Drosophila melanogaster: one gene and its partners. The protein of the gene in region 2 purifies or fractionates together with the protein of the main gene of each other region. This does not show direct contact. Each region holds a gene or a part of one and is shown on either strand. Other genes may lie near its edges.

Evidence for each region.
Region 1: the proteins of TrpRS (region 2) and spidey purify together in Drosophila melanogaster (affinity purification with mass spectrometry, with the first as the bait; one large-scale study listed by BioGRID). This does not show direct contact.
Region 3: the proteins of TrpRS (region 2) and ScsbetaG purify together in Drosophila melanogaster (affinity purification with mass spectrometry, with the first as the bait; one large-scale study listed by BioGRID). This does not show direct contact.
Region 4: the proteins of TrpRS (region 2) and Kr-h2 purify together in Drosophila melanogaster (affinity purification with mass spectrometry, with the first as the bait; one large-scale study listed by BioGRID). This does not show direct contact.

What each region holds. Positions count from the first base shown.
Region 1 is NC_004354.4:7,907,188-7,912,391, reverse strand, and holds spidey (spidey), read right to left. Parts: upstream 3,462-5,204; 5' UTR 3,021-3,461; coding exon 2,855-3,020; intron 2,515-2,854; coding exon 2,468-2,514; intron 1,684-2,467; coding exon 1,608-1,683; intron 1,540-1,607; coding exon 1,199-1,539; intron 1,141-1,198; coding exon 805-1,140; 3' UTR 507-804; downstream 1-506. Other genes in the region: dpr14 (defective proboscis extension response 14), read left to right, coding at 5,054-5,135.
Region 2 is NT_033777.3:9,264,472-9,268,709, reverse strand, and holds TrpRS (Tryptophanyl-tRNA synthetase), read left to right. Parts: upstream 1-1,805; 5' UTR 1,806-1,918; coding exon 1,919-2,114; intron 2,115-2,180; coding exon 2,181-2,592; intron 2,593-2,650; coding exon 2,651-3,230; intron 3,231-3,301; coding exon 3,302-3,406; 3' UTR 3,407-3,683; downstream 3,684-4,238. Other genes in the region: Vps16A (vacuolar protein sorting 16A), read right to left, coding at 26-153, 212-900, 951-1,221, 1,274-1,463, 1,533-1,588.
Region 3 is NT_037436.4:5,561,195-5,565,695, forward strand, and holds ScsbetaG (Succinyl-coenzyme A synthetase beta subunit, GDP-forming), read right to left. Parts: upstream 2,498-4,501; 5' UTR 2,350-2,497; coding exon 2,299-2,349; intron 2,202-2,298; coding exon 2,072-2,201; intron 1,991-2,071; coding exon 1,891-1,990; intron 1,678-1,890; coding exon 708-1,677; 3' UTR 507-707; downstream 1-506. Other genes in the region: sinu (sinuous), read right to left, coding at 1-301; Sras (severas), read left to right, coding at 2,667-3,072, 3,132-3,634; bc10, read left to right, coding at 4,431-4,501.
Region 4 is NT_033779.5:6,069,276-6,074,492, forward strand, and holds Kr-h2 (kruppel homolog 2), read left to right. Parts: upstream 1-1,714; 5' UTR 1,715-1,912; intron 1,913-2,937; exon of another isoform or gene 2,938-3,138; 5' UTR 3,139-3,180; coding exon 3,181-3,401; intron 3,402-3,458; coding exon 3,459-3,708; intron 3,709-3,764; coding exon 3,765-3,898; intron 3,899-3,961; coding exon 3,962-4,187; 3' UTR 4,188-4,686; downstream 4,687-5,217. Other genes in the region: Pfdn1 (prefoldin 1), read left to right, coding at 72-214, 284-491; CG9154 (uncharacterized protein), read right to left, coding at 533-903, 958-1,117, 1,174-1,314. UniProt on the Drosophila melanogaster protein: Member of the dosage-dependent hierarchy effective upon white gene expression.

The DNA of each region.
Region 1 (5,204 bases), on a different chromosome or scaffold from region 2:
TCATTTCGTTTCGAATCGTCTCGTCTCGTTTCGTGTTGATTCGTTTCCGAGGAAAGGAAATCAAAACAAGCGACTCTGATTACTGATTACACGCTCCTTCGATTCAGCTTGATGTGTTGTTGTTATTGTTGTTGCTGTCGCTGCTGCTGCGCAGTTGGGATTGGGCTGGCCCTGATAACACGTCACGTCATGAATCCGATTCATTACATTTCACGCCCGGCTATACACTATCTTTACTGTTATGTTTATGAATTTTGCCCTTTGCTTTGCTTCTTCGCCCTGCGCGAAGTGTTGTATCTCTTTCTGTCATTCCCATCTCGCCGATTAGCCGAAGGGCGCGCCTATCGATGACCAATCGATAGCTATTGCCGTTATCGACACATCCAATTCAAATTCAAATTGGATCCGAAAAACATGAAAAATCATAGGGAAAAAGAAAAATCGCTAGCAAGAACAAATAAGAAGTTAAATACAAAATAAAGGACTGCAAATAAAAGGCGTTATTTATCATTGGAAACTAGATATATACATATATCTAGTAACACATTTTTTATTGTTTACATGACATGGCTGTTTGCGAATCTTCAATGCTAATTAATGACAAAAACTAACTAAACTTAGTTTATTTCGGAAAAATGTTTTTTTTTTTGGTATTTCAAGCTATCTGTTTGTGGATTCGTATGACACGCGGTAATTACGTAAGCTATTTGACTAGCCGGATTTTCCCCACAACCCAACTGACCCACTCATCATCCCAACCGATTCCCATTAAATGCCTCCTCCGCCGTATTCATCCTCAATAATCTACTGTTCCTTGGCCAGGCGGCGCAGGGCACGTTTCCGGGTGCCCAGGATGTTCTTCATAACGATGTTGCGTGCGAACTGTTCGCCGAACACCGCCTCCGTGAAGTGGATGACCAGCTGGAGTAGAGCATGCGGCAGATAGCCCGCCGTCTGGGTGGCAATGCCCAGGGTGGACAGCGCCGAGCGGACATACGTTTCCGGCGAGGGAGCAAACACGCTAGCCTTTCGGATCTTAGACATATTTGTGGCCACAAAGCCCGGCTGGACGCTCTGGATGAGGATGCCGTGCTCCTTGTACTCCGTCTGCAGGTCATCACTGAATTTGTTCACAAAGGCCTGCAAATTATAGGTATTAGTAATTAGCCTTCTATCACTTCTGATGATATCCACTCACCTTGGTGGAACTGTACACGCTCAGCAGCGGATTAGGAATGACTCCGGCGGTGGACGATACATTTATGATCACACCACGTCGCTGGCTAATCATGCCGGGTAGAAAAAGTGCGGTCATGTGCGTCACCGAGTGGATATTGGCAGCCACAATGTTGCGCAGGAATGGGGGATCGGCTTTGTAGCAGTCCAGAAAGTACTCGGGATGGCCGTAGCTGATGCCCACGTTGTTGACCAGCACTCCGACATTGAGGCCAGTGGTCTTTTCGCGGATCTTATCGTAGATCTCGTCACCGCCGGTGAAGTCCACATCGATCACACGCACCTCCACACCGTATTTATCGCCTGAAAGTAGACCGCAAAGAGCAGTTGTTAGTTGAAGTTGTTAACTGTATTTTAGTGAGCAGACTTACCTATCTCCTTGGCCACCACATTCAGTTTCTCCAGGGATCTACTAATCAGCACCAGTTTCAAGCCCCTGCGAGCCAACTGAAAGTGATTAAATATTTATTAGCCTGCTCATATTTACGTACTTTTGGATAGTAAATTCTTAGGTCAGAGATAAAAAGCAATGGTGCTTTGGAATGGGAACACTGAACGTTTCTACCTAAAGCAGGAGTTTCAAAGACGAGTAACCCGTAGATTTTAAGAACAGGAAGTCATTTAAGTGTACTAAGCGTGTATATGAATAGAAATTGGGTGTGAACATTGAACCATTTTCTGTGCGTTCGACGCACGCCGAATGCTAATTTGGCACAAGCTTCGATCGGGGCCCTGTGCTCCACTCTATAAAGTAATTGCCATTCAGGGGACACGTGTTCCCTATAGCTTCTAGCTTCGTTTGCTCCAAGTCTGTGTATTACAAAATAAAACTGGCAAAAAAAAAAAAAAATTACCACAAAAGGTAGAAAAATCAACTGCGATTGCACTTTGTAAAAATAAATAACGAAAAGTACAAATGTAGCGATTTGCAGTCAAGCAAACACTATTAGGGACTGTTTGCGACTGGACTGTTGACTGAAGATCGATTTCAAAGTGCAGATTCACTTGGCTAATGCATTGGCGACCGCTAAACCAATGTCCAAGTCATCGTGGGCGACACTCAATTCGGTAATTAGTAATTACTAATTGCTCATTATTACTATCGTTTTTTGTTTGTTTGTTTGCTTGACCCGTTTCCCATTTTACTATAATCATCGGTCGAGCTTGGACGGACTTTGCTTGCGCTGGTCAAGATTGGGGCAGCCCTTCCATGTCATCTTTGTGTACATACCTCCTTGGCGTAGGCCTTGCCAATTCCATCGGTCGACCCGGTGACAACTGAAAGTCGAAAAAGTTAGCCAATAGTTCTGTGGGTTATCAGTGGATTTATGGGGCGTGGGGAACGATCTTATCGGTCACAGTGAAAAAAGTACTGAACTCCATTTTGGAAAGATATATAGTGTATTCCTTTAGGCAGTTAATGCAAAATTGGAAAACTTGAAAGTAGAGTGTTTGCAATTTGGAAATTCCCTTTCTTCACAATTTAATTGTAAAAGGGTCTTTAATCTTTTTAACTACACTTCTTTAGCAAACTTGCTATTCATTTTTTCACTGTGCACTCGGAATCGACCCCGTTTCCGCTCCTTTCCGGCATGTTTTTCCATGGCAACCGACTCACCTGCCCACTCGCCCATTTTGGAGAGATCCACCGAGGAGCCAAAGACCTTGGGGCCAACAACATTGGCGTAAATCCAGGGCAGGACCTTCCGGAAGACCTGGAAGCCCACGATTCCGATGGCCAGACCGCCCAGCAGGCTCAGCACTTGCGAGTTGTTCTCCTCCATGATGTTGATGATGGAGATTAGTGGTTCCTGGTTCCTGGTACTCCTAGGCAATGGTACCTATTGTATGTACTATATGGTGCGATTGCGATCGGTCGACTGCTATAGCCTCTGCCGGCTGATTAGTTTCTGATTCTACGATTTTCGAGCTGCAATGCCGAAATGGAAATGCTGACGCCGCTGCTTTTTTTTCGCCTCTGCCGACTGCGCTGCCTTTTCGAACTGTATTTGTGGTGTGTTGTAGTAATTCTACACACACACACACCCTTCGAAATCGCCACTGATTTTCGATTACTCGATTTATGTACGCGTGTTTTTTGCCTGATTTGTATTCCAAATGCGTTTTCTTTGAAAGGAGAAACTTAGGGTAGAAGGGGGAAAATAAAAACAAATGGAAAAAGCGATTGAATGTCAATTGTCAACGGCACAAAAGCAAATGAACGGTTCTTTTTCGTATCCATGTGCCCCCCTCAGAGGGGTGTGTGTCTGTGTTGTGTGCCCACTTATGTCATTTCATAGCGCTCACGCACACCACCAAAAAGCGAAAGATAAGGGCGGCTGCAAACAGTGAGCGCAAAAATTTATCACACCAAGAACCGTTATGTTGCACTAGCTGATTTTAAAAGAGGGATGAAATGTAAATTCAGCAATAGTTTTCCGCCTAAGGGTTCACAGGTTCATTACCGTATATCCTTCTTTTACTAGTCTATTAATTAGTTTATTTAAAAGCGAAAAAAGCATGCATATGTATATCATAGGAGGGCAGTGTAAGTTCTATGCTCTCACCAATACACGCCAGAATGGGGCAATCACCGAAATAGTCTGACTAATTTCCTGCACATGCGCAGGAAGCAGAAAGTGCGATAAACAATTTAACGCAGCGAATGCTACAATTAAAGTCGTTAAATATTTTTGATGTTTCTGAGTAAAGCCCGCTATATTAACGGTAAATTATTGATGGAGCGAGATGGCTATAGCGGATCGCGTATGTGCGAGGGTAATCCTTTGCCTATCGATAAATATCGGTTACTTATCGAATTTCGAATTTGAAGCTTAATTTGACAGTAAAAGAATGGTAGTTTATCTGTATTTTTACTCTAGGCTCTTAACAATTAGTAAAATACAGGTATTTCTGAGCTCAATCGCCCGATTTATTTGCATGCCGAGCTATACGGATTCAAAGGACCTTGTTTGGTGGGTAGAAATCCCTGGATTGCAAGAATGCCGAGAGAGATGCTGGCCTTTCGGAGCGGATTCAGTGCCGAAGCAAGTGTGGGTGAGGGAACAACAACGCCGAAGGACCGGCAAAAGCAACTTTTATATTGTTAAATATTTATCAGAACCATCCGCCGAAAAGAGCTTTTTTCCTGGACAAATGCAAACAAAAGAAGAAAAGAAAAGTCTTTTTCTTTTTAAAACAATCTTGAAGATTGCATTATTTTGAGCTTGAGAGGTGAGTGGCGTCTGCTATTTGTTGTTGTTGCTCGGGTAGAGGGATTCCTTCGGATGAAATAATAGGGATGCGGATGCTGGCCATGCGCAGAGCATGCCCTGACCTACATTCCCGTTTATTGGCCATCCGAGCAGCAGTTGCAAAAGGATAAATACACACGCAACACGAGCTGGTTAATAAGCGCTTTTCCGATTTTCCAATTGTCCGACATTCCTATCCCTCCAGCCTCCATCCGCGCGCTGAAAAGTGTGCAAAGAAATCAACAAAAAAGAGAAAAAGAAAAAGTAAATATACATATATAATCGAAAAGGACACTCTGAAAAAGAAGATACTTGAGTGCAATATGTCCAGCAATATTTTGCCGCAGGGCAATCGATAAGCGAAGCGAAGTGAAGTCCGTGGAATCATCGCTGGCGATGCAGTGGGACGCTGATGCAGTTGGACTTGGATCGATATAGAACAGTTTAGAGGGGCGTTCGTTCATATGTGCATATCCTGCGGCGAGTGGCGCCAGTCGATGCATCATCCCGCATCCTGTTACCGTATCCCGTAAGTCGGCATATGAAGACACTCCGCTGCAGTGATGAGATCGAGGCTGTTTTGGATACTGGCGATTATATACTCCTCACTCCATCACATCGGCTCGGGTTCCACGTCGACCACATGTGAGTCTCCACCTCATGCCTTAATCACATTGCAAACTTTTACCCAACTCAAACTTTGGCACTTTTAAG
Region 2 (4,238 bases):
TAATAAAAGTTAAAAAGATGATTACTGTTTGAAGGTGATGGGCATGGCAATTCGCTCATGCCGCAAGGTGTTAAGAACCCTCAGTATTCGCATAATACGCATATATTCATCTGGATTGTGGTTACGAATAAAGCCTTTTCCAAAATAGGCCGTCTAAAAAGAAATCGAGTGGTTATAATTTATAAATATAAGAAGTCCATGACTATCTTACCCTAAGCAAGCTCTTTTGAGTTTCCGGACAAAACTCATATGAAGCCGCCTCAATACATTCGGACACTGCCAGATCGATCTTTTCCCGACACATGCTGAGATACTCATCCGACTTGTAGGACTTCTCCTCAAACTTTTTCTGTGCCTCAAAGAGATAGCTAGCCGGTTCCTGGCTATTCACTGCAAATATGTTCTCAACGCATTTTGGCAGGCGCTGTATTATTTCATGCGAACTCTGAGTAATAATGCGAACGCCATCCATTTCAGCCACAAGAAACATCACCGGATCGTAGGGAAAGTCACTGCGATCAGCGTTACGATTTACAATTAAGAGGTACGATGGATATGAAATGACCACCGCATCCGCCTCGCTGTTGTCAGAGTTCATGATCCACTCCATTTGGAGGGGCATATCTTTACGTCCGGTGTCGAATTCACAATACTTTTGCCGCATATCTACGCTGCCCAGCCAAAGAAGACCGGTGTTGGTGTACAGTGCCAAGTGCTGATGGTTGTACGACACAGATATCTTTATGATTCGCTCGTGCGGTTTCTCAAAGAGATTGGCGGTAATAGTTCCCACAGTTTCGCCTGGAAACAGCTTTATGACCTCTCGATCCCTTCCCAGCAGACAGTAGCTGTTGCGTCCCTCGGTTACGATCTCCCAGCAGGAACAGTTCATGCTGGAATCTGTTGAGCAATGACATAATATTCTTTTGGTATTTCAATGGTTTTCTTACTGGGAATATCCGGCAGCTTTCTTTCAGTCTTGCTGCTGTTCTGCTTGAGGAAAACCCGACCGGATGTGGTCATTACAGCCACTCCTGTGCCAGCTGAGGACTGGAACACCTTGCCCTCCACAATCTTTGTGACACTGGCCTCATCGCCGATGCTGTAGGACTCCTTTTCCCGACCAAACATGTCGTAGACAAAGACGGTGGCGTTCTCCTGGATGCAGATAAGCTCCTCCATGTCTGACCAGCCCATGGCAATAAGTTTGCCATGGTTCCACTACGGTGATTTCAATATTTGAGATAATATTTCTTACTTTCGATTAACTCACCAATATGTGACCCATTTCCCTGCCGGTGGTATCAAAGATGCGAATCATGGGTCTAGCGTTACCCTTTACCGGCACCAATTTGGTCGGATCACGAGTGACCGCCAGTGGTCCTCCATAGGGAGCCACTTCCACCCACATATACTCCAAGTCCAGGTCCAGAGGCCAATCAGGCGTAGCCAGTTCCACTTTTCTGTGAATGGGATTAATGGGCGTATCCTTCAGTTGGTTTGTATAGAACGGATGGATTAGGATTACCCACCTGTAGTAGTCCGGTCGCACCTTGAACCACTCCCCCGTGTTGTACATGATAGGCATGTTGTCTGAGTTATTAGTTCCTTATTTTAATCGAAAAACATTAGTCTTATCCGCTTGCATTTTTCACCCACAGTTTGCAGCGCAACAGCTGATTTTCCAGAGTTGTCACTCAATAGCAAATTTGCAATCCATCGATATTTCTCATTATCGATATTTTTAACAGTTGAAATTGAGCATAACAATTACCATTAACAGGAGAGCAGATGAAATAATCGATGGTGTAATCGATGGTTGGGACACTAATAAGCGCCTCATTTCACATGTGAAGGGCCCAATTACACTGGCCAGTATTAAATTATCTGTTAAATTCTTAACAATCAGACTGACAGAATGGCGGACACCAAGGAGACGGTTGTGGAGGGCGTGGAGGCGTTGACACTAAATGGAAAACCGGACGCAGAACCCGTGGAAACGGGCACGGATGCCCAGGCACAGGAGGGAGCCACTGCACCCACTGAAGATGTTGTGGATCCATGGAATGTGGCCAGTAGTAATGACGCGGGCGTCGACTATGATAAGCTGATAAGTAAGAAGACATTTGCAAGGCAAATTATTAATCAAGTTAATCAAACGACATGTTGACACGTTGCAGAACGGTTTGGCTCCAGCAAAATCGATGAGGAGCTTATCGCGCGTTTCGAGAAAATCACGGGAAAGCCCGCCCACCACTTCATCCGAAGGGGCATGTTCTTCTCGCACCGGGATCTTCATACGATTCTAACACTGCGCGAACAGGGCAAACCCTTCTATTTGTACACTGGTCGCGGTCCCAGTTCCGGATCCCTGCACGTGGGCCACCTGGTGCCCTTCATCATGACCAAGTGGCTGCAGGAGACCTTTGATGTGCCGCTGGTTATTCAATTGACCGACGACGAGAAGACCTTGTGGAAGGATCTGAAAGTGGAGGATGCCATCAAGCTTGGACGTGAAAACGCCAAGGATATTGTGGCCATTGGATTCGATGTCAACAAGACGTTCATTTTTAATAACCTGGAATTCGTGGGGTAAGTAAATTAAAAAACTTTTAACCTGTATAATCTGTATTATCTATATTACTTACAGAAAATGTCCTGCCATGTATCAGAACATCATTCGCATCCAGAAGTGCGTTACCTTCAATCAGGTCAAGGGCATCTTTGGCTTCGGGGACTCAGACATCATTGGCAAGATTGGTTTCCCAGCCGCTCAAGCAGCTCCCGCGATTTCCAGCACCTTCCCCTTCATCTTCGGCAACAGGAAGGTGCACTGCCTCATCCCGTGCGCCATCGATCAGGACCCATATTTCCGCATGACTCGCGATGTGGCTCCACGTCTTGGTTTTCCCAAATGCGCGCTCATCCATTCGACCTTCTTCCCGGCGCTGCAGGGTGCCAAGACGAAGATGTCGGCTAGCGACCAGAACTCGGCTGTTTATCTGACGGACACGCCCAAGCAGATTAAGAACAAGATCAACAAGTACGCCTTCTCCGGAGGACGCGTATCTGTGGAGGAGCACCGCAAGCTGGGCGGAGTTCCGGAAGTTGATGTCTCCTATCAGCTGTTGAAGTTCTTCCTGGAGGACGATGCCAAGTTGGAGGAGGTGAGAGTGGCTTACAGCAAAGGCGAAATGCTTACGGGCGAGATCAAGAAGCTGGCAGTTGAGGTAAGTGCAATGATGATGCTACAATCTTCCCAAAAAACATTGTAATTAATGTGCTCAAATGATCTTCTTAGACGCTCACACCCATTGTGGAACAGCATCAGGCCGCCCGCAAGCTGATTACGGACGAAGTGCTGGACAAGTACTTCGAACTACGACCCCTGAAGTTCGGAAGTTAGAACGGTAGCCGAATTGAGGTACCTGCATTTGCTTGACATCGATTCTTACTACCAGTTTATATGAAATTAGCTTAAATCGAACTAAGCGATATTAGTTTAGCACCGAACCGACTAAGGCACTTCTATGTAAATAGCTATACAGAATTGATCTATGCCTTGGCTCTGAGTCCGTGTGGCGCCCACTTAATGCATCGTTGTACTCGCTATTTATTTTATTTTTTACACAGCGTGTTTATTTTTATAAAGCAGAAAACAATAAACTTCGGCTTCGATTTGCAATTGCCACCACAGTGACCCACATTTGGGAAGTTGTTAGCAAGTCTATACATTTTCCTGGAAACCCGAAACGTTCAGCCAAGGAGAGAAACAAGTCAACTCTCTAGGTTTCCCTAGAAACTACACTCTGCTCATATTCATTTCCGATTCCGGGCAAAGGTGCCTCTCTGGTTAGCCAGCTAGCAAAATAACTCTCGACTTCGGAAAAATGTAAGTAATTTTCTCACTTCTAGTTGTGTGTTGTTTTTTTTTTCTGGTAACCCGAGATCTTGCACATGAATTGAATTTCGCGGGCTATCAGTAGATATTCTTCTAGTTTTTTCCTTGCGGTTTATAGTTTCAGGAATTCTGAATTTTCGGAAGAAAAAAATAATTTGCTAGTTAATTACTATTAATTAAAGAAGATATGTAGTAATAATGGAAACTGTGCTCAATATCTCAGTCTTTTAAGCAAGTATCTATTTCAATTAAGAAAAATCATAAAAATAGGTATAGAATATGTAATATAATTTTTAATAGGATTATAAGAGCACTTAGCTGGCGATCACGGTTTTTC
Region 3 (4,501 bases), on a different chromosome or scaffold from region 2:
AACGGCAGCCCACGAAGAATCTCCGCTGGCTATCGTCGTTCACGTCCGGCAGCGACCGGAAGCAGTGCACCCACAATCCCAGGCGATCCAGCTTGGCGCCCGTGATGCGGTAATCACTGACCAACCAACTGGGCGTTGCAAACGCAATCACGATGAAGGCAAAGGCGAACACGAAGACGCCAACGCCACAACTTCCGGATAGTGTGCGTCTCTTCATGTTCACTGTGTGACTGTTTTGCGTGTGGCTGGTGGGCAGGTGCTCCTGGGAATCCTCGCGTGCGAAGTGGGATGGTTTTTGCATCCTTTGAGTGGGAAATTCTATTGGAATTTCGCTGGTTTCCTGGGGAAATGTTTGTTTGGTTTGCTGTTTGGGTGTGGACTGCAGTGTGGCCGCACTGGTAATACCGCAGAATACCATGGGGCCACAAAATAAATACCAAATGCTACGGTACCAATAAATTTCAAAACAGTAAATTAAACAATTTAGATTATACATTTTTTAAATTAAGAAATAAATGATTTTAAATTTAATTAATTTTTGATAGATGGCTAAGGTACTTCTTAAATCAAATAAAAAGCTTTTTATATAGAATATAACATATTTTGGTTATATTGTCGATAAAAACTTATACTTAAAAGGCCCAACCGTTGTAAATGCTAATGAGCGTCGTTTCATTCTGGAAGACATGCTCTCCTCAATCGTTCCCCTAATTAAGGGCTGCCACAGCCTTGTGGGCGGCATCATCCAAGTCACTGGCTGTCTGAATGGGCAGGCCCGAATTCTTCAGGATCTCGCGAGCCTGATTTACATTGGTGCCCTCCAGTCGCACAACCAGTGGAACATTCAGTTGCAGCTTTTTGGATGCAGCCACAATGCCATTGGCAATGGTGGCACAATTGACAATGCCGCCAAAGACATTGACCAGGATTCCCTTGACTTTCGGGTCAGCAGTGAGGATCTCGAAGGCTTTGGCCACCTGATCCTCCCTGACGCCACCGCCGACGTCCAAAAAGTTGGCGGGCTCGCCTCCATTCAGCTTGATGATGTCCATGGTGGCCATGGCCAGGCCGGCACCATTAACCAAGCAGCCAATGTTGCCATCCATGGCGACGTAGTTCAGATTGTACTTGGCCGCCTCCACTTCTCGGGGATCGGATTCCTCCTCGGTGACGTCCATGGAGAAAATATCCTTCTGACGGAACTGGGCATTGTCGTCAAAGTTGAGCTTAGCATCAACGGAGATAACTTCTCCCTTATCCGTCTCCGCCAGCGGGTTGATCTCGATCTGTACGGCATCCACAGCTTTGAAGAGAGTATAGAGTTTTTGAATTTCCTCAGCACAACGCTTTACAGAGTCTCCCTTGAACTCCAAGAACTTGGCCACCTCCAAGAGCGTCGACTCCGGTATGGGCTTGCCAATGTCTAGCGGAACAGTCTTAATTTTCTCAGGGGTTTCCTCGGCCACCGCCTCGATATCCATGCCACCGGCAGGTGAGGCAATCAGCACGGGTCCATTGTGCTCGCGGTCCAGCAAGATGCAGAGATAGGTCTCGCGGGTGATGTTGATACTGCGTGCCACCATGACCTTGTTGACCAAAATTCCCGATTTGGGCGTTTGTTTCGTTATCAGTCGGTTTCCAATCATCTGCTGGGTAAGCGAAAGCACCTCGCTCTTGCTGGCAAAATGTTAAATAATTATTAGTATAAGCTGGTCTTATCACTTGTGTTTTTAAGGTACACTCTGGCTTTCACAAACTTTTATCATTTTCAATATGGGCAGAATGATAAGATTAATCTTATATACAAATGATATTGTAGAACATAAATAATATTAATTTTTTAGATAAAATGTGAATGTGAATAGCCGGAATAGACCTAATCTATAATACTTGGTGGTGATATGGACGCCGCCTTTGAATCCGTTGTCGAAAGTTCCCTTGCCACGCCCACCGGCGAGAATCTGCGCCTTCACCACGTATTCCGGGCACTCTGAAACACAGAAGCACAGCATTTAACACCAATTAGCCCAGGGATTACATAAACACCGGCATGGTTCCGTCCTCCACTTACCAAAAGTCTTGACGACCTCGGCATCTGCCTTGGAGTTATTCAAGACCTTGAATTGCTGTATGGCCACTCCATACTTCTGGAGGAGATCCTTGCTCTGGAACTCCAGCAGATTCAGGTTGCGCACGGGAACCTATCATCGAAAGATAAACAAAGCCAAGACAAAGGTCACTTCAACTTCTCTTTTCGAAGAGTTGATATATTATAGAGGAATGTGAGTGCGAGGAAACCTTATGAACGATGTGACGGGCTGTGGTAACTGCTTTCAGTAGGAACGACATCTTGGCTGATCTGCGGTGGTAACTGAATACCTTGGCTAACTTGGTATTAATTTATTTTCGTAACTTTGTCGGTAAATTTAGTTTAAAAACACAACCGAAAATCGCCGCCGTTCCACGATGCTTATCACTGCACAATGTGACCAAGAAGCACGACTACTTTCCATGGTGATAAAAATATACCAAATGCCACTGCCATCTTGAACTAGTTCTCGCGAAGCAATGGTCTTACTGTTGCAGTCAGCTGAAAATCAGCTGTCGTTGTGTACTTTTTTTCTTCGGCTAATAGTCAGCGAAGAATGACGAATAACACAAATTGAATGAAAAACCTGAGTGAGACGGAAGCCGAAGTCACCATGCAAGAAAATGTAGTCCACGAATCATTGCCCCAGATCCCGGTGGCCACTTCGGTGAGCTGTTGCTTCGTTCTGGCTGTTCTGTACGTGGGTAGCCTCTACATCTGGAGCACCAAACACAACCGGGATCATCCAACCACGGTCAAGAGAAGATTCGCCAGTGTGTCCATGGTGATGCTGGCAGCCCCGTTCTTCGTTTACTTCTTCTCATCGCCGGAGCTGCTCAGCCGGGTACCATTTCCCAAGCTGCTCGGTTTGCGCTTGGAGGGATTGTGGCAGGCTGTTGTTATACCATACAGCCTGACGGTGCTGCTCTTCCTGGGACCCATCTTTGTCAACATGCAGAACGAGTCCGTGCGCTCCTACTTCGGTAATAGTTAAAGCCCCTCTGCCTATCAGCCCCTTCTCACTGCTTGATTTGAATTGCAGATCTGGACTACTGGAGGGGATCATTTGGCAGCATCATCTGGGTGCGCAACCATGTGATAGCACCGCTGAGCGAGGAGTTCGTGTTCCGAGCCTGCATGATGCCCCTGATCCTGCAGAGCTTTTCGCCCCTGGTCGCCGTTTTCATAACGCCGCTTTTCTTCGGAGTAGCCCACTTGCATCACATAGCCGAACGCCTGAGCTTAGGCGTGGAGTTGAGCACTGCCCTATTGATTGGACTGTTCCAGTTCATCTACACCACGCTATTTGGCTTCTATTCGGCCTTTCTATTTGCCCGTACAGGTCATGTGATGGCTCCCATCTTGGTGCACGCGTTTTGCAATCATATGGGTCTGCCGGATCTGCAGGATCTGTGGCAGCAGGATCTCTGGCGACGAGTAGTGGCCATTATTCTCTACTTAGCTGGATTTGTTGGATGGATGTTCCTGGTACCACTGGCTACCGATCCGTCGATCTATGATAACACCCTTTACTGGAATGCATAATTAAGTTAATTTGTATGTATCAACCGCTGCCATACGTCGGTTCATTCATGTGTACATAAATATTCGTGCATATATTATGTTTATATGTAAATTGCATATCCCATTCGAGCCAATTCCGCGCACAAAAAAAAGACTTCCGATGAAAAAGAAAAAAGAAAGTACAGATAAATGTATACCTAATAGTAAGTCAGTTGTACTGTTTTGTTGTTCGAGAGTACTTTTATTACAACTACTTTTGTTTGCATTTGTTTATTAAACAATTTCTTAACATTTATAAATATTATTTATTATTATTATTAAGAAAGAAATATGAATTCAAATTTAGGCGGTATTATTGGTTCCGCGCAATCACTAGTTCCAACATATCGGTATTGGGCAGCTGGTCACACTGCCACTCAGACCCACATAGGCTTATCGATAGGGCCCGATAGGCCCAGACAAGTAAATTTTGGTAAATATGTGATGATTTAAAACGACGCACAACAAGCGAGCATCTAAACGACCCGAAAATCGAGAGGTCAGCGCCAGGAGGCCCAATCGGAGGTAATCCCGCAGAGCGGCGACCCGTGCTAGAACTGGGAAAACAGATCCGCGTTCTGGTGACGTTTGTGGTCTTTGCCCAGGACTACGAATGATAGTAATTATAGAACAATTAAGACTAACCTCAACCCCCCGGGGTCATCCTGGGACACTTGCAGGCCGCGCGGAAGACCACGTCAACGCACACGCAAATAGAACCCAAATCTTAAGCAGAAATAGCAACAACAACACAACCACCCACCCAACCGCACACAGAATGTATTGCCTACAATGCCTGCTGCCCGTACTACTGATACCGAAACCCTCGAATCCGGCCCTGATGGAAAC
Region 4 (5,217 bases), on a different chromosome or scaffold from region 2:
AGGCCGACTGCCGACGGAGAGCGCGTGCTCTTCCAAAGAACTTAGTCATAGACGATTCCTTTTGCACGCAGGCCTTCACCGAGATGCAGATCAATAAGCTGGAGACGACCAAGAAGATCCACATGATCGACATGAAGTGCGACATGGTCAAGACAGGCAAACAAAAGTACCAGCTGACAGAAAAGGGCACCAGCAGCTTGGCCGACGACACAAGGTACATAACTAGAATCACAATTAATCATCTCCAGGTGTTCAGGTGGCTAATTGAACTGTTTCCCTATAGAGTTTACCAGTCCGTGGGTCGCATGTTCCTGCTTACCGATGTACAGAATATGCGCGAGGACCTGAAGGCTAGGCAGGAGAAATGCGACAAAGCGATAGAACTGCTGGAGAAGAAGAAGGAGTTCTTGCAGAAGTCCCTTAAGAGCCAGGAAGACGGTCTGCGCGAGTTGGTGCAGCAGCGCAAGGAAGCCGATCAGACTGCGAAATAGACTACAACTCCAAACTGGCATTTATCCCTCAACGCAATTGCTTATTTATTTTCAATATACTCGTCTAAATTGAAGTTGGCGTAGCTGACAAACTTGTTGCCCAGATTGCGTTCGTGTTCCGGGCGGAAGCTGCACTTGAGGACGGGCAGGCGAGCGGTTAGCCAGGGCTCCACCACCTCACCGGAGCACAGGATTACCTTGCTCTCCTTCTGGTTTCGTTGCAGCCTAGTGATTATTTCACACGTTTTGGCGATGCACTCCTGGGACAGGAAGGGCGGGTCGGCCACGATGAGGTCATATTGCTGGTGGTGCTCTTTGAGGTAGTCCGGGTTGCTCCCTACGCAGTTCAAGTCGTAGTGCACAAAATCTGTGCCATAGGCCTCGAAACGCTTGTCGAACTCGAATATGTGCACTACAAGATAGAATGATGACAATTCATTCATAATCGTTTCACATGTCCACTTACCTGTGTCATGTATCTCCCTGATGTCCTTGTAGAGCGATGGGCAGGAGAGCAGTGCTATACTAAAGTCACCCGAATCCTCCGTGCGCTCCGCCAGAAGCTTACGCACAACATCACGCAATGCGTGCTTGGTTTCCGTGCTGTACCAGAACTGACTCAATTGCTGCAAGCGAAGAGAGTTTCACCATAAGTTTCTAAGGTATGTGCAGGTGCTCTTGCCCAATCCTCCTCGAACTGGGCATCCTTGCCGGTCTTGTTGGCGATTTGATTCTCCTCCTCGGCTTCGCGTTTTGATCTCTCCAACAGAAATTCGTTTAAAATGGCCAAAGTGTCGGCGGGCAGCGAGATGTCGTCGTCCATAATTAATTATTTGCCACTAAATGAATCTTAGAGCATTCAAATCAAAATAAACCAAAATGTGCGTTTGAAGATTAGAGGTGCGAAATTAGCGATACAAATGAGAACTTATTGGGGGGATTCCAGGCCTTGGCGCTGTTTTCAAATTGTAAATTATTAGAAACTTAGGCCAACTGCGATATTGAAATTATACTTTCAAAATAATATGCACTTTAACCGTATGCAAATCGATTACCAATTTTAATTTATTTTAAGTTATTTTATTAATACAACTAGCTCCAGAAACCTGTATCGTAACTTTTATTTGACAACACATTTTCAAACTGTACTGAATATTTAGGCGTTTAATCGACAACTAAAACAGCAACTTTCAAGTACGTGGTCTTTAAATTTCGTAAGATCGAGAAAGCAGTGCGATACAAATCGGTGGCAGCCCTGTGTCAGTTCGTTTTTATCGAACTAGATCAACTTTGCCCGTCCATCTCTAGTTCGCACGGGAGCCCCGACCAAACTGATACGTATTAATTTACGAGAAAAACTTGCGTTTAATTCGAAGTCACATCATATCGCAGGCTGGAACGTACCTGCTGCTAAGTAAGAGGTAAGTGAATGGCCAACGTGAATTAGGAAAAATCAGTGCCTTGCCGGAAACGAAATCCATGTGATTAAAGGCTAACTTTCTTCGCTTGACGTCGTTCCCAAATCGGATAAAAGTGTGCTGCTGGCCCAGTAATTACACTGGTGAATTATGCAGGTCGGCATTTGGACTCGCTCCGCGACTTCCGTGCGGGGGAGGAAGCATCCAATCCCCAAGCGCAACCGTTTCGAATTTCTACAGCGCGGCGCGAAGAGCCCTGCACTTTGATTTCGTTGCCGTTCATTGTGGAGTTCAGTCGGGTCAATCAGCCTCAATTTGCGAGACTTACCTTCTGAATCTCTGACGTGTACCTACCAACCAAACTGTCCACTATGTGACATCATATAATTGGGCTTCCGACTCCGGACTATTGCATGAATAATGTGCGCGCGGGTTGACAGGTGCTACCTTAAATTGACTAGGTGACCCACTTCCGTTGAAGGACCCTCCGTCCACAGATCCCAATCGATACGGCTGCCCCACTGCCAGTCTCATTACTCGACATGTAAATCGAAAGTACACGTAGGATGGACCCCCTCGGTTGGGTTTACTTAATCGCTCAGACCAGCCCACTCCCCCTCCCATGTTTCACCTGTTGCCACCTGTTTGTGTTTCAATATTTTGACGTGTATTTCGTAACAACATGCACATTGTGCGCTGTCTTGCAGTTTTCTCTTCGAGCTTCGTAACGAAATCTTTGCGTTTAGTGCGCTAGGCATCATAAACCGCATACTCGAGAAATATAATTGCCAAACCGTAAGAGTACATGATACTTTAGCGATGGCTTGGCTGTTTTCTTTTTTTGGTTGCCTCATGCAAAGCACTGTCCGTAATGGTGGGCAAGTCATCTTGGCTAAAGCGAACATTAACACGACTTTTGGGCCAGCCCGTTCTCGTTTTAAGTGCGTTTGCCAGCCACTTTCCATTTGACTGGTTTAACAGTTGGCCCTGACTTTCAATTAAGACGTAAAGCGCTTGGCACTGAGAAGCGTAGTGCAGTCTAATCCTGGAGTCATAGAGGGCAGATCTTGCGGGCTATTCATTAGGTTGGAACCCTCACACATCAGATAGCGCCGCAGTTACTTAGCCAAGGTTCTCTTATCGCTGCCTATGCCTAAGATAGCAGCCAAATTCCCGCCGATAAGGCCGAAAGTAGAAACCTTATACTGATTTTCATAACTGCCTTGCAGACTGAATACTGAACGGAAAGCGAGCACGAAAGCTACTTCATCATGAGCGCACCCACCGACCAACCACCGCGCTCCGAGGGCGCTCAGACCAACAGCTCCGAGAGATCCTCACAGCAGCAGGAGCAACCGCAGCAATCTCAATCACAGAACGTACCGGCCAAGCTCCTGCAGCATTTTCAGACAAATCGCATAGATTCCGCGCTATGGGCACTACGTCTGCTGGTCATCTTCTTCACCGTCAGCTACGTGCTGCCCATCTTTACGTGAGTACACGCGTTTTCCACATTGACCTACTCTAATTTTCACTTACTTCTCCACAGCTCACAACAGAGCGCATTCAGCAAGGTTATGCTGGCTAATGCCGCCATCTCTGCCTTGCGTTTGCACCAGAGATTGCCCGCGTTCGCGTTCAGTCGGGAGTTCCTTGCTCGACTGTTTGCCGAGGACTCGTGTCATTACATGATGTACTCCCTGATCTTCTTCAACATCCGCCCATCGCTGCTGGTTCTGATTCCCGTGCTGCTGTACTCAGTTCTGCACGCCTCAAGCTACTCGCTTAAGCTGCTGGATGTAAGGAAAGCAATATTTCACATTTGGCACTTGTCTAATAAGAAATGTACTTACAGCTGATTGGCCAGAACTCGTGGTGGGGTGCCCGTTTCATCATCTCCATTGTAGAGTTTCAGGCGGCGAATATCCTGAAGGCAACTGCATTCTGCGAGATCTTCATCATGCCTTACGCCATTGTGCTGGCCTTCATGTGAGTTTTAACACATATCTTTCGAGGGGAATGCACTCCAATGCAGAATACTTTCAATTTTAGGAACCACGCTGGATTGATGACGCCCGTTATTTACTACCACTATCTGGTGATGCGCTACAGCTCGCGACGAAATCCCTATCCGCGCAACGCTTTCGCTGAGCTGCGTATAACCTTCGAGGCGCTGGCCGCCCGCTCACCGCCCGCCTTTGCCAAGATCATCCGTGGAGGCATTGGGTTCGTCAACCGCTTGGCGCCGCAGCTACAGCCGGCTGCAGCGCAAGAGTAGACACGACAAGCAGCTAACGGAAAACAACAATCAAATGACATATGAATAAGGCTATTTAAATACCAGTTCACTTGCATAGATGTTCACACAGGAGATTGGGGTTCATCCGTTTTATTTGTTAGCCGAAATTCGTTGCACCTTTTCGAAGCGAAACTAGTTGTTTTACACCAGATTGTTTCGGCATTTAAGTTTAAATTTATCTATATATTATTGTAGTTTTTTTTGAGTACATCATCATGCTTTTTTCAACAACACACAATGTGGCAACGCACGAATTCCGCCATGGAGGATCAACGGCGCGTATTACTATATTTATATCCCAAAAACAAATTATTTCAATTTGTTTTGCTTTAACTTATATGTTCAAAATACTGATCAAACGAAAAACATGGACAGCTAACGCTGTTAGTAATTATTTACATATATTTTGTATGAGTGTGTAAAGATTCGAAGAACCAAACAAAGTAAAGTAAAGTTAAATAAAACATTTTGAGAAGGTACTAGAATTTGGACTACAATTTTTTCTGGTTGATTGGCTTTAAATCTTCTGCTACTGTATTAAGTGGTTTGCACTTAACTTGTTTCTTCTCAAGCCAATTAAAAAATGATATCAATCGTAATAATTTTCGTATCATCCTTAAAGTATGCAATACCTTAATTTCTCCACTTTTGGTCAGCGGGCTCAAACAGGTGAATGGAAGCGTTCCCCAACATACTCCAGATCAGGATCACTAGTCGATTTGGCCATGTTCCAGTCGGACACGAATAGTAGCAATCTAAGCACTTTTGTACAGCGCCGAAGCATCAACCCACAACGAAACTAATGAAATGATTTCTGGGTGTGAGGCTAGGGCGTTGGTAGCTTGTCGTTGGCTCTGGACTTCTTCCGAATTTCCACCAAGTTCAATGAACTTCTTGCGCAGCGCCAAAAAAAAAAAATGTTCGTCCAAATGAGGGTGAAGGCACCCGAGCTTTGTTGTGTTGTGTAGGTGAAACGACTCACTTTCGTTCTCAGTGCCGGGAAAACTTT